Linked DNA regions of Caenorhabditis elegans. The protein of the gene in region 1 interacts with the protein of each later gene in a biochemical or structural test. Each region holds a gene or a part of one and is shown on either strand. Other genes may lie near its edges.

Evidence for each region.
Region 2: of the proteins of egl-9 (region 1) and cysl-1, one has a biochemical effect on the other in vitro, tested with the Caenorhabditis elegans proteins (2 studies listed by BioGRID, with this or other methods).

Annotation. Positions count from the first base shown.
Region 1 is NC_003283.11:10,464,972-10,472,960, forward strand, and holds the start of egl-9 (Hypoxia-inducible factor prolyl hydroxylase), read left to right. Parts: upstream 1-3,545; 5' UTR 3,546-3,553; coding exon 3,554-3,628; intron 3,629-3,972; coding exon 3,973-4,101; intron 4,102-5,428; coding exon 5,429-5,906; intron 5,907-5,951; coding exon 5,952-6,145; intron 6,146-6,261; exon of another isoform or gene 6,262-6,323; intron 6,324-7,989. UniProt on the Caenorhabditis elegans protein: Cellular oxygen sensor which regulates the stability and the activity of hypoxia-inducible transcription factor, hif-1. In normoxic conditions, hydroxylates hif-1 targeting it for vhl-1-mediated proteasomal degradation.
Region 2 is NC_003284.9:9,952,079-9,957,978, forward strand, and holds cysl-1 (Cysteine synthase 1), read right to left. Parts: upstream 2,456-5,900; coding exon 2,353-2,455; intron 2,072-2,352; coding exon 1,983-2,071; intron 1,931-1,982; coding exon 1,802-1,930; intron 1,648-1,801; coding exon 1,164-1,647; intron 1,096-1,163; coding exon 987-1,095; intron 823-986; coding exon 711-822; 3' UTR 501-710; downstream 1-500.

The DNA.
Region 1 (7,989 bases):
CAAAAAGTCACGTTTTGTTTTCCAAATGTTCAGTTTGAAAAATCAAATGATATATGGACTTCAAAATGATTGTGTGGGTTATACATATGACATTTATAAAAGTTTTTTAGAATATATTACTCACAGACGAATCAGATAAAGATTTCAGCATTGAATATATGAATTGAACACGTTTTGATATTTGACAACAAAGTAGGGTTGCAATGTTTTTTAAAGTGTGAAGCGACTTCTAAAAAATCAGATTAACATATTTATAAAAAACATTGTTTTATAGCTCAGAAACTTTAGGAAAATGTTTCAGATTATTTTTGACGCTCCTAAACTTTCAGAAAGTGACGTAGTTTTATTTCTGAGCAACTCGTGGGTTTGTTAGCTCTATCCTTGTTGAACACGTGTGAATATGTTTGCTCCAGTGAATCATTTTTAGTTGTGTATCCTTCTTGAAACTATAATTTGTCTCAAAATGAGTTTCCAAATCTCAAATCTATGTTTCAACCGTATTATATCTCATTTGTCGATTCAACAATAAATAGAGTTACTTATGTTTCTTTACTTGACATTCATAAAATTCTATACTTCATTCTAAAATGAAGGGGGTACATTATAGTTGATGACAAGTGTTCAAACACCATGCTTTCATTAAAATTAATAATTTCATTGTGCGTCATAATTCATATGACACCTTCAACACTCTTTCCAAGTAGAGCCACATTATTACGAGCTAATTTCAACTCCTAATTTTACGTACCAAGAAAACATTTCACGATATACTGACAGATGTTTTTTCACAATATGGTAATGTCTTTGAAGTTTAAGATTTTGCATATTTTGAAAGAGCGTCTGAAAATGTTGTGATTTGTTTTGTGAGATTTTTTCCGTTTTTTAAATGACGATTTATCCGACCTAAACTTTGAATGATCAATGTTTATCGACTAAATTTCAAATTCTATTGTGTTGTAATGACAATTGCGAGGTCTGAGTGAGACTGATCTATTAAATAATTACAACGATTCAAGATCATTTTGTTTGTCAATTTTTTAATTCAAAAATCTGCTAGCAGTTGAATTCTTAATAATAATCTAATTAATGTTTTACGGTTTCATTTAGGGATTTTGGTTTTTTTTCTCAAAATTTCTTACAAAAGAAAAACGTTCCATTTTACTTGCAGAATACAAAACGTTGCGTGCCATTTCATTTAGAATTCTAATTAGAAGTATTATATCACTCAATCAAAATGTTGGGAAAAATTTAAATATTTGTAAAAAATGTGACATTTTTCAAAACCCACTAATGTGATTTTTTTTCAACATTTAAATTTTTCAAAAACTACCACAACATTTATCTACACATGAGCATACTAAAAACACCAAAAGTGTGCTAAAACAGTACCTGGAGTAATTCTATAGGCCATGAAAAAAAGAAAATTGCACTGTTTTTCCAAGTTCTATCTCAAAGATTCATGTTTTCTCTATGCAGCGAACAAACGTTTTCCTCAGAAAAATACTTGATAACTGACAATTAGTAATGCCTTCATTTTATTCTTAATAACAGTCCTCAGTTTTCAGGTTATACTTAATTCTTGAAAAATCAGCATAATGTGCAACAAGTTATGCTAAAGATTAAAAAAAATTTGCATCACCCACGAAAGACCTCAAAGACCATTCCTTTCCGAATCTCCTCACACCTTGTACCACATTGAGATAGTAAAGAGATTGGTGGAGAAGCAGAGTGCGCGTGCATGTGAGCGTGCGCTTTTCACGTTCCAACACAATCTGCGTCTCCGTGCTCTCATCTACCATTATGTCTGTGTCTCTAACTGTCTTACCAATTTTTCATTTGCGCACGTAGACAGTTTTGGTGTCTCTCTCTATCTCTCGATTTCCTCCTATATGCGTGTATGTGTGTGAAAGAGAGAATGAGAAGAAAAAGAGAGAGAAAATGAAGAGGAAAGATCTCCCGCTTCGTCATTTTCCGCGCATTGCATTTTTTGTTATGCTCTTCCAATTAACTGGGTAAAGCATCACGGACTTTTCAATTATTATATCAAAGTTCTTTTTTTTAACTATCAAACAATTATTCGATCTTCTTATGACTACTGTACCTGATTACACTTAAATTTCCTAAAACTTTTCCGAAGATCTACTCTTTTATCTATTCAAATATAAAAGAGTGATCTTTGGAATAGGCAAGAAACATGTCGCAAAAGAGTGCACCCATCTGTCTCACATTCCTCTCTCAAAACTCTTGTTCCTTCCATATCTTCTTCTCATTTCTCTTCGTTTCAATTTCTGCCCTCTTTCGTAAGGTGTGGGAATGTAAAAAAGTGCGTGACGTAATATGTTCCATCTCTTTTTCTCTGGATTGATGCAACCTTGTTTTGACACCAAACACCCTGCACAACATTTTAGAACATAAAAATTTTAAAATTGATGAATAAAAAGTTATTACCATGTGATGAAGTTCAGTCAAACTTGTTTAGCATCTCATTGGTGTTCACTTGATTGGTCATAAGATTTCTCTTTGTTTTTTCTTTGCTGAAATGTACATATTAATTCAAGTTTTGAAGAAAAAATACAGATATTCCTTATTTCAAAGCTTTGTCTCGTTATTCCCAAAAAATGTGTTTCTATGTTCATGCCATCTGGTGTATAGAGTACAATGTATCGTAAATTTGTTCAGTTTAATAACTTTTAAGAAAATCGTTCTTGATTTACCGTATCAATGATGAAGGTCGAAGTGATTTCCACCGAGAAATCCTAAAATTATTTTTAAAAATTGCAAAGAAATAGTCTGTAACTTCCGTTTTGAAACCGTTTCTTTTGTGTTACTTGAATTAGTTTAATTTTTTATATTTCTGAACTTTTCTTTCGAACGTTCTCATTTCATTTTTTTTTCAAAGGCCGATTAAGAGTGCACTTTAATTATAAGTGTTTCCGGAAACTATTGAAGAGTAGTCCATACTACACATTCCTTTTATATCAAACAATTTTTAACCTGAATAACACGTCTTTTAAACGTTGAAATCAAATTTCATTTGAAGGTTAACGGCATCAATTGACAGATAACTTTTTGAATCAATGAAACCATATTTTGTTATTACTATTTAGACAATATACCAGGATAATCCCTTGTGATTTCTGTTTTACTTCTAATCTATATTGTTTTCTTGATCAAATTTGTTCGATTTTCTTTGTCATCGTGTCTCTTTGATCCGTCCAATCACAACCACCACACATTTCTTTCACCGTTCATCTAGTACTGAGAACAGTTTTTTTCGTTTTCAATTTTTTTTTCTTAACTTCTTCGTGTGATAAACGGCAAAATGTCGTCGTGCAAATCATCAACGCTAAGATGGACATTTTTTTTAATGATAAGAGAAATGCAAAGAGAGAGAGAAAAAAGCACGAGAGAGAGAGAGAGATGAGCACACAAGACACGCAAACAATCAGTTTCGGTGCCACGTCGTTCATTTTATCACGTTCACATATTTTTCGGTTATTTTCTGATCACTGCCAGATACTGAATGTGACAGAAAAAAGTTGCAGCACATGACATGAGCAGTGCCCCAAATGATGACTGTGAGATCGACAAGGGAACACCTTCTACCGCTTCACTTTTTACAACGCTGGTATGTTAAACTACTTTAGTTAGAAAATTTAAACTCTTATTACCAACCTTTGAAAATTGAACACCTAAAATGAATTACCTAAGTGATTTTTAAACAGTTATTACTCTGTTTTCTGAAATTCACTATTCAAAAAATCTGTAAAAAGGATACTGTACTTCTGTATGTGGTGAACACTGCATCAATGGGACTAGTTTATTAAGTCTAGCAATTTTGAAGTTTTGTTTGTAGTATGGAACCCCTATTCGCATTAGAGTTAAAAATCACTGAAATCGTACATTTTTCAAAAAAGCATAACTTTTCAGAATTACATATTTGGGTCACATTAATAATGAATAATTATTCAGATGCTCAGTCAACCATCTTCTTCTACAGCTGTTTTACAGTGTACATATTGTGGAAGCTCGTGCACATCTTCCCAATTGCAAACATGTTTATTCTGTGGAACAGTGGCTTATTGTTCCAAGGAGCACCAGGTTGGTACCGTAGGGTGTATTCGTTGATCAACAAAATAATGGGGGTCCTGCTGATTAGATAAACAAGTGTTCTCACGTAATCCGTCCCTTCTCACGATGCATCTACCCTAAATCTGTTTTTGACTCTAATTCCTCCCTTCTTTTCGAATTTTTGAACTGGCTATTTATGGGAATCAAATCTAGTTCCTGTTTAAAATTATACTTTGTTTCTGACAACTACTTCCAATTATAGTTGTCTTATTTTTGTTGAATTTTTCGGAAAATAACCTGAACCTGCATATCGCGCAAGAACGTGTCGATTCGAACATTTCGGCTGGCTGCCCTCCTCCCGAGAAAGAGCTTTTTGAAGCATATGTGCGCAGACAAGAAAGACAGAAACATTTGTAGACCAATGTCTGTGTTTACTGCAAAAACATCAAAATGAAATAGGGGAAATAGATGATGACAATAGGAAGAAATTTTAATTTCGAGAAAAAAGCTGTGGCAGCGATTTTAGATTTTATCGACGGAATTTGGACGGAGGATTGTAGATAACCCAGAAAAAGTTGTGACGTTCTCAAGAACAATAGTCTAGTTATTAAAAGTATTGAAAAAGTTCTGAAACTTGTTTCGTTAAAAAATATAATTTTCAATAAGAACCACTAATAATATAATCATAGTGACCCTCTACATTTAAACTTCCTAAATTATTCAGCATAAAAGTTGGGAAATATCAAACTTTAACAAAAGACGGAAACAATTCTTAGAGGTATATGTTGTGGCCATAGTATACTATTAGACGAGAATATGTTGCTTCAAAATATTTTACTTCCTTATTTGAGTGCAACAAAAATCACAATATGATTCATTCGTATTTCTAAAACTTTTCCTCTTTTGTGTTCCCATTGTCAACTTTTTGATCTTATTACTTTTCTAGACACGTCCATCAACAACATGCAAATAAAAAATTTGTTTAGTTTCCCACGTCGTTTCATAAATATTCTGATTTATGCTCAACAACTTATTTTTCTTACTAAACATCACACCTTTCTCTCATTAGACATAACCCAAATCAAGCCACGCCCGTGCACTTTTCACAAATTGAAACATCACAAGTGTCACGTAGACAATTTTTTTAAAGCGACTTATGGATTTCAATTTTTAGACGCTTGCAATTTTTTAATTTATTTGCCATAGATGAGATCAAAATTTTGAATACAATTTGCTAAAAACACATGCAAAAACAAAATGAGGAAGTAGAGGGTATTATTCTTGTTCAGTATTTCAAATAGTTCTACAACTTTTAGTTTTTCCAATACGAAACTCAGAATCAATATCTAATTTCCAGCAACTCGATTGGCTAACACATAAAATGATATGCAAGTCACTTCAAACAAGTGGCATGGTGCCAAGTAATTTGATGCCTCAGGCAGCACCTGCTGTTATGGCTCCAATTCCACCTACTGTTTCGTTTGATGATCCTGCACTTACCACGTCACTTCTTCTATCTCTTCAAAATAATCCAATTCTGAATCAAACTATTTCAAATTTTCCGCCAACATTTTCGATCACATCGAAGACCGAACCAGAGCCATCGATTCCAATCCAAATTCCACAAAGGATATCATCAACAAGTACAGTACCGTTCAGTAGTGAAGGAAGTGCATTCAAACCATACAGAAATACGCATGTGTTTAATTCAATTTCTTCTGAATCAATGTCTTCCATGTGCACATCACATGAAGCATCACTTGAACACATGTCATCAGCTTCCCTTGCAATGTTCCCAACAAGTAGTACTGCTCAAAGTGATATCAGTAGACTCGGTAAGCTACCAATTTAACAGTTTTTTGATATAAAAGATCTTTAAGCTCAAGTTTTGAGTCTTGCTGGAGATTCACCAGCTTCGTTGGCTCTTGTCACAACTTCGGTACCGTCAACTGCTTCCACAGCAACTATTCCACCTCCAGCGACAACGACAAGTTCAGCTACAAGTTCAGGCAAAAGCGAGACAATAACTGTTGGAAAAGAAAAGATAATTCAAACTGATGATCCGGATATTCAGGTTAGTAAACGTAATCATCTAAAGTCTCATCGAAAGGCCAAAACCTTTTTATTTCCGTATTTCCATGTTAGTTTCATTGGTGAAAATACCAACTATTTGATGTGAATATGTGTATCTAGGCTCATGCCAACGTGCGGATTCTGCGAGCCCTCCCGAATTTTACGTGATTTGTGAGAAGCGTGTGTGTGTGTGGAGCGGACGGCAATGCTGCACAAAATGGCAGTTAAACCAAGCGGTTAGAAACAGAGCCACACAGCAACAAAATAAATTGGCTGGTCGGTTTTGTGCTCTCTGAGTAATTATAAAATGGAAGTGAACTCGATTTGTTTGATGTTGATAGGAACGAGTAGACAGGGATGGATCACGCGTTCAAAGGGTTCGGAGATGATAGTAGTAGACAGTGAGTCAGGTGACAGAAAAATTCACTTTTGATGAAGACTGGAAGTTTTATAGTGAGCATACTTGATATTTTTGTTATCTCTTCAGAAAATCTGATGAGCACTATTGAGTTAAGAAAATATCATGCTTTTTCATTCCGTTCAGAAGTCCTTCCGTTTAGAATGGAAACACAAAAAATGTAGTGGAACATATGAATTCATTTTCAAATGTCTATTTTCATCTGTTGATCCCAGCACGATTCATTATTAACTTATAAAAAATTTCTACCGTCTTCTGTCATTAACTTCTGCTCATCATGCCTCTCAACCCATTACTTTTATTTTTCGGCTCATTGTTCAGTTATCCACCGGACGAGGAAGCAAAAAAGCAGCTCATTCATTATTTTCTTCGAGTCGCAATGCTTCTTCTTTCCTGTTATACCAACAAATGTGTCAAAGTTCACGTAGCTCTTCTTTCACTTATTCTCTGAATATCTTTTTGATCTATCTCACCCTCATGAGAATCTTCCTCCACTTTCCCATCCAAATGGAAAAGAATGAACGGCATCGTCTCGGAAAAGGATGTCGTTCTCCTCTCGATAAGAAAATATGAGGAGAATGTCACGTAGACCTGAAAAAAGCGTGAAACCGGAAATTCACATCAAAACAAGCATGGAAATGCAGCGACTGAAATAAACAGAAAAAGAGAGAATGTATTGGAATGAAAATTAGAATTTCTGGAATTGAAAAAGAAACATACGGTAGTTTTCACTCTTTTCCTCTTTCTCTTTTCTAAAAGACGACGTGCAGATCAGCAGTGTGCATTTATTGTTATCAGCACTATTCCATTCGTTGTCTCTAAGCGTCCACCTCCCGTTGTCTGTGCAAAACTTTCCCATTTTCGATTCTCGATTTCGGCACGTTTTGTGAAATTCACCCGCTTCTCTCCATCACGCACGCATACTCTTGCACCGCTCGTTTCTCTTAGCATTTCAGTAAATTCATCTCCTTTTCCTGGCTTCTTTATTTGTAATGTATTCAGTTTTAGTTTGAGTCTTTCAGTCATTAACTTTGTGCCGGCTTTAACTATTTTTCCAACTGAAAAACCAGATAACTGAAAACGAAAAGTGCAAATATCGAAGAGAAAAACAAACAATATACATACTCGTTTCACTCTTGTTTTCCAGTTGTGTAGTCAGTTTAATTAGTTCTATTACTGAAAATATGTTCCTTTTCTAGCCTAACATAAGTTTTGCACAAAAAATTGAGATATTTTCAATAACAGTCCTAACTCTAAATTTTTTCATTTTAATTTTTCTATCATGACCTATACTTCTGATTTTTTACAATTAAAGTATGAATAGCAACTGAAATTATTCTTAAAATGAATTATCCTTTCCCCTCAACAGCCTACGTTACTTCTGAATATCTACAGTTTGCACTCTTATCAGTTATCTTATTTTTAGT
Region 2 (5,900 bases), on another chromosome or scaffold:
AACTTTTCCATTACTCTTTTCCAAAAAGATGGGTACGTGAACCATTTAAGTTTATGTCAATTCAACTGAACATGTTCAAAGGAGTCAGCTAGAAAACTGTGAACTTTCCGCTCAAATAATTTCATAGTGAAACCATCAAACCAGACCTCCGTGGTATAGTTTTCCGATTTGATAAAGATCGCGTTAAATATCCATACTACTAATTAAATTGAACTTCTCGCTTGAAACCACATGCAGCGTTTGTCTCGTTGGCCACCACTATCGGTGAAAGAATTTTTCTGGCGATTAGCCAAACCAGGTTTCATTCCTCCTTATTAGGGTCAGTGTTTCTATCTGCACTGACCTTTTCATGAGACATCGACAAGCCTATTTCATGCCTCACTGTGCTAATGGTTTAATTGTTTTTAAAAAAGTCGGTTATCCTCCCAGTTTCGTCAGTTCAACACCAATCTTAGTGTCTGCGGGTTCAAAGCATACAAGCTATCTTAGATCACAGTACAAAACACTAATTGCATTTATTGAAAAAATAGACAGCGGAACATTTACATGGAAAAAATACGAAAGAATGCAAATTATTATAATGTGTAGGTTTTTTGATTGAATTACCAGCCGATTTATCATTTTTAGTGAGTAACAACCTTGATAATTTTTGGGTGAAAGAATTTAAATGAAAGAAAAAAGAAAAAAGTGAGATGAATTTTTGATTTAAATCACTCCATAATATCATAGTTGTGAAGACATAACTTCTTCAAGTTTGCCTCCAAGCTTTCGACTGCCAGAGCCATAGCGCTTTCGCGGATGTCGGTGTACAAAGGAGAGGTCCTGGAAAAATGGTTTTTAAGATCAATCACAGTAAATTGTACATGATTACTACGTTAAAGATTCAATAGTTGTTTAACTTTCTATCAGAAATACTCAACATCCGAGGAATCAGATGCAAACTACTAGCTCACATCACAAGTAACATTTTAAGTCAGTCATCTTACATGTATCGTTCTCCACAGCTTGGCAAACAAGTCACAATGAGCTTTCCAGCCATTTCTGGGCGAGCAGCCAACTGAAGTGCAGCTGCAACATTAGCTCCGGAGGAAATTCCTAAAATATAGAATTTTAAAAACATACTTCTTTCAAACTATCAAAGCAAACACAGTCACACAACCTACCGCCAAGAAGACCTTCTTCATAGGAAAGTCTTTGAGCCATGACAATAGCCTCATCGGAATGAATTCGAATTACGTCTTCATAGATCTTTGTGTCCAAAACAGCTGGAGCAAACCCTGCTCCAATGCCTTGAATTTTGTGTGGACCGGCTGGTCTGCCGCTGAGTATAGCGGATTCTTCTGGCTCCACAGCAAACACGCGGACACCTGGATTCTGCTCTTGCAAGTATCTGCCAACTCCGGTAATTGTTCCACCAGTTCCAACCCCAAAAACAACAGCGTCTACTGTCCCTTTGGTTTGTCTCCAAATTTCTGGTCCAGTTGTTTGATAGTGAACAAGTGGATTATTTGGGTTGTCAAATTGAGCAAGAATGATAGACCCTGGAATGTTTTCCTTCAGCTGGTTAGCCATGTCAATCGCTCCTTTCATTCCTTTCGCTGGGTCTGTCAAGACCACCTCGGATCCATATGCTTTGAGAAGAGTTCTCTGTAAGATATATATTTTATATGTTAAAAAATTTTCAACCCGGAGATTTGTTTAAAATCACAGATGACACAACTGTACTCAATAGCTAAAAAAAAAGGTTTCAGTACTGGCAATTCCTGGGGTGAAGATTTGCATCCATAAGATCAATACTCACGCGTTCTCCACTCATAGATGCTGGCATTGTGACAATACATCTATACCCCTTGGCGGCAGCAACAAAAGCCAATGCGATTCCAGTGTTTCCTGATGTTGGCTCAATGAGCGTGGTCACTCCCGGGATCACCTTAAAAAATTTTAATGCAATTTTTTGAACAATGGTATTGTTGATGAAGCACCGTTCCATCTTTTTCGGCCGCTGCAAGCATTGCCGCTCCAATACGATCTTTGACCGATCCCGCTGGATTCATGTATTCGATTTTTACAGCTGTAAACTTGAAAATTATAATAGGATAATTGGACTTTTGTTTCTTCTTGAAAATTCAAAACATTTTTGATTTGTAAAATTCAATTTTATCTACGTTCTGGTTTTACTATTTTTCGTACTTTCTTTTAAGTGAGACTATTTGTCAAAGTTATATTTTGTTGAGAAGTTACAAAACTCGGTTACAGTGGTATTGCATAAAAGAAACAAAAAAATTCAAAGTTTCACCAGTATTGTTCAAAACATTTTTTAAGATTTCGTTTAATTCAAATGAATAAACCAACCAACTGTCCCTGGAAGTCCTTTTGTCAATTTATTGATGTACACCATGGGTGTGTTGCCAATAAGCGCGGCAGCATTTTCGCCAATAGAGTTGCGATCAGCCATCTGAAACATCGACTATGAGTTAAATGAGAGTGTAGACAATAACGAGAGAACGCAGAAAAGGGAAAACTATATCACAGGAAAGAAATATTTTAAACTATCAATGACTATTGGCACGGAAACAAAATATTTTTCTATCATCTGTTTCTGCTGGTTTTGACACCAAACTCCAAATGATAGTTGGACTTTTAAACAGAAGGAGATAAGGAGATAAAGAAAATGTTATAAGATAGGGAGAGATAGACGACACATGTCTAAGTACATGTTGTGTAGCGGAACGAATGCACAATCAGCTGGCATTTCTTAAAGGTTGGCACACATCTAATGAGCCATTGAATGAACATTCTAAGGAAGCAATGAGGAAACAAACAGAACACGCAACACAACGAGCAAGAGATAGAAGAATATCCCGTTGTTGTATCTTATAGAGCAGCTGCAACGAGACAGATTTATAAAAATGAAGTGAGCAAGTAAGGAGAGAATGAATCCACGATAAGATAATAAAACAACAATAACCGCTCAGTATGACATAATTGCATTATGCAAATGTCGGTGAGCTGGAAAATTTACAATGGGAAAAGAAGAGATGATATCCATTTATTAGAAACTGGGACATTTTTGATGATAAAAGGTAAACCACTTCGTATTTTTCCCGAAAGTATAAATTAAACTTTTTAGGAACTCAGACAGAGTTATTTCAAAAAATTGTTATTTTCTAGATCAAGCACGATAAACTCCAAACATGGAAAAGCATTTACATGTACATCTATTATAGGTAATTAGGAATAGTTTATCCTGAATAACCTTTATGAGTCATGAGTTAAACAAAACACGAAAACGCCCCACTCACCGGATTAAACCAATGAAAAGTACTTGCACGTTTCGATATATACTTAGTGTTCTTGTTTTGTAAAAATAGCAAATGCAACAACTAACCGGCTGGTATTATTTTGATCTTTTGAAACTGCACTTATTAATGAAACATTTCATTCTTTGAAGTGGAATCTTGTTGCAAAAATTGAAGGATGTAAAAAATGGATCTCCTGTCATCTAATAGAAACATTCACACGCTTTTTCCATTTTCTTTTTCTTCTAAGAAAACTCCGAGAAGGATGAAATAGGAGGTGATGGGGAGTTTTCTTAATAAAAAATATAATGAACAAACGATCAAATTACACGATATCGCGAGGCGTTTTCAGAATTTACTTCAAAAAGTAAACTTTGATCATTTTAAAACGGCAGTTCTTAAAGAGCATTAGACCTTTTTACAGTTTCTATCTGGATATGTTTCAAAATTCTTTGAAAACACATTTGATGATTGAGAAAACCAATAATAGTAGTGTCGAAATAGTGTGAAGTAAGCAAAAAGTAGTAGTTTGCATGCAATAATGTCCAGAAAGCAAAAGGTCACTCGTGCTATTTCTTCTATGCACTTCAGACTTCATCAGTAGCATGGGAAAATTCCCACGTCGTCCAGAAACGTTGAATATAAGAATTATACTGTCGAGCATGCATTTATCTCTATATCTTTTGCAAAAAGATATAAAACACAAACGATAAAAAGAAAAGAACAAAACTGGATTGTGGAGACCTACCAAGGTTGATAAATAAATTAAAAAGCGGTAACAGAGACAATTTTTGTTAATTTCTTTGTTGATGAAATTACAACGATGAATTGAATAACAATTTCCACACGCATGCTGTTTCATTCATATATACTTTGACCACTGGGACTACTTCTCAGTTAAGATGTAGAGATCAAAAGATGAAAATCTAGCGAAACGCATACGCATGGGAGCATAACTGACGGATAAAAGCTTATTAGCTTTGCGACCAGAGTAGAAACATTAATATGGACCTCGAGAGCATTAAATGTAAATGAAAGAGCATGCAGAACACTCGGGATTTGGGAGAATAAATTGAAAACTGGTGAATCGGTTGTCGCTATTTAGTTTCGCAGTGTACTTCTTGCCATTTTATTACAATGATGCCAAAAACAGTTGCGAATTAAATTTTCAATCTAGAAAAGAAGATAAAAATCTACTTGCTAACATGAAATTCGAACTTCAGAACAAGTTTAATCGTAAGCTGAAGAGAGGTTTCTCGAAACTACATATATAGAAAATCCGCAGCCTTAAGAATTCACACATCAGAATGAAGTATTAATGAGCAGCATGCGCTTTTCTCTGAACCCTTGCACATAGAACAACCAAACCTCACATTTTATAATGCATGCAGTAAATTCAAAAGGGAAGTCACAAAGTACAATTTAGGGGTACTCGAAAATGACGCAAAGAAAAATCAAAACAATAACGAATCACGTAATAACCATGTGGGGGTGTTGGTTACACACCCGCTAAAACTATTCATCTGACAAAATTTGAATATTCAATTTTTTATTTGAAAGAAAATAGATGACAACAAGGCACTTAAAGCAAGCAAAAATTATCAAATACCCAATAAGACTTCTCAACATTTGTAAATGGCGCACGCTGTTTAAAAACTTGAATGAAATTCGGTGGCCTTTTGAAACAGATGGATTTTCAAAAAAATACATTGAAAACACATTATGTTTAGAAAAAATCAAAATATTTGCAATTACATCATTAAAACGATTTATGAAATTTGGTTAAAATTAGGCATATTATAGATTTGGAACTTAACTACAAACATTCAACATTTTAAGAACTAAAATTCACAGAGAAAATGCAGCGGAATAACAAAAAGTTTTTTGTTAATGATTTATTTAAACATACGGGTTGCAAAACTTAAACTTTGCGAAGCACGCATTCTTTGCTGATGAAGCTGATATTTTGCAATAAAATATTCTAAGATGATGCAACTATGAAATGGGTCCCAATTTTTTTCATAAATTTTTGTGTTTATGGAACAAGTTGTGACGTTAGAAAATATTACGAACAAAGGACAATCAGATCGAAAATCAAAAAAGTTCATACTGCCTGCCAACGCCACAGGTTTTTCTAAACATAGCAACCAGTTTGAAAAGCCACAAAAACTCCAAATTTCTAACTTTATTCTTTGAAGAGACACGAGTGATTACTAACTAAAGCAATACCTGGAAACTGATGTGAAAAAAAAATTATTGAACATTGCTAAAAGCATTATATTTTGATCTCAGCTCAGAGAACGATCAATTTTCTAAAAACATACATCTGGAAATTTACCACACCAATTTTTGTCACGGTTCAAATTATATCTTTGATAAGATTGTGGCTGAATTGGATTGCATATAAAAAGAAGATGAACAACTTGACTATGAAGAGATCAGTTTTCAATTTGTCAAACAACAAGTACCGTAATATATTCTAGACAATCTATAGCTACCAAGGGACAATCGCTGGAAAATTGAATAACAATAACATTGGTCAAATTGGTAATGAGGCAAACCTTAATTAGTATTTTTATATTCCATAGCACAAAAACTTGA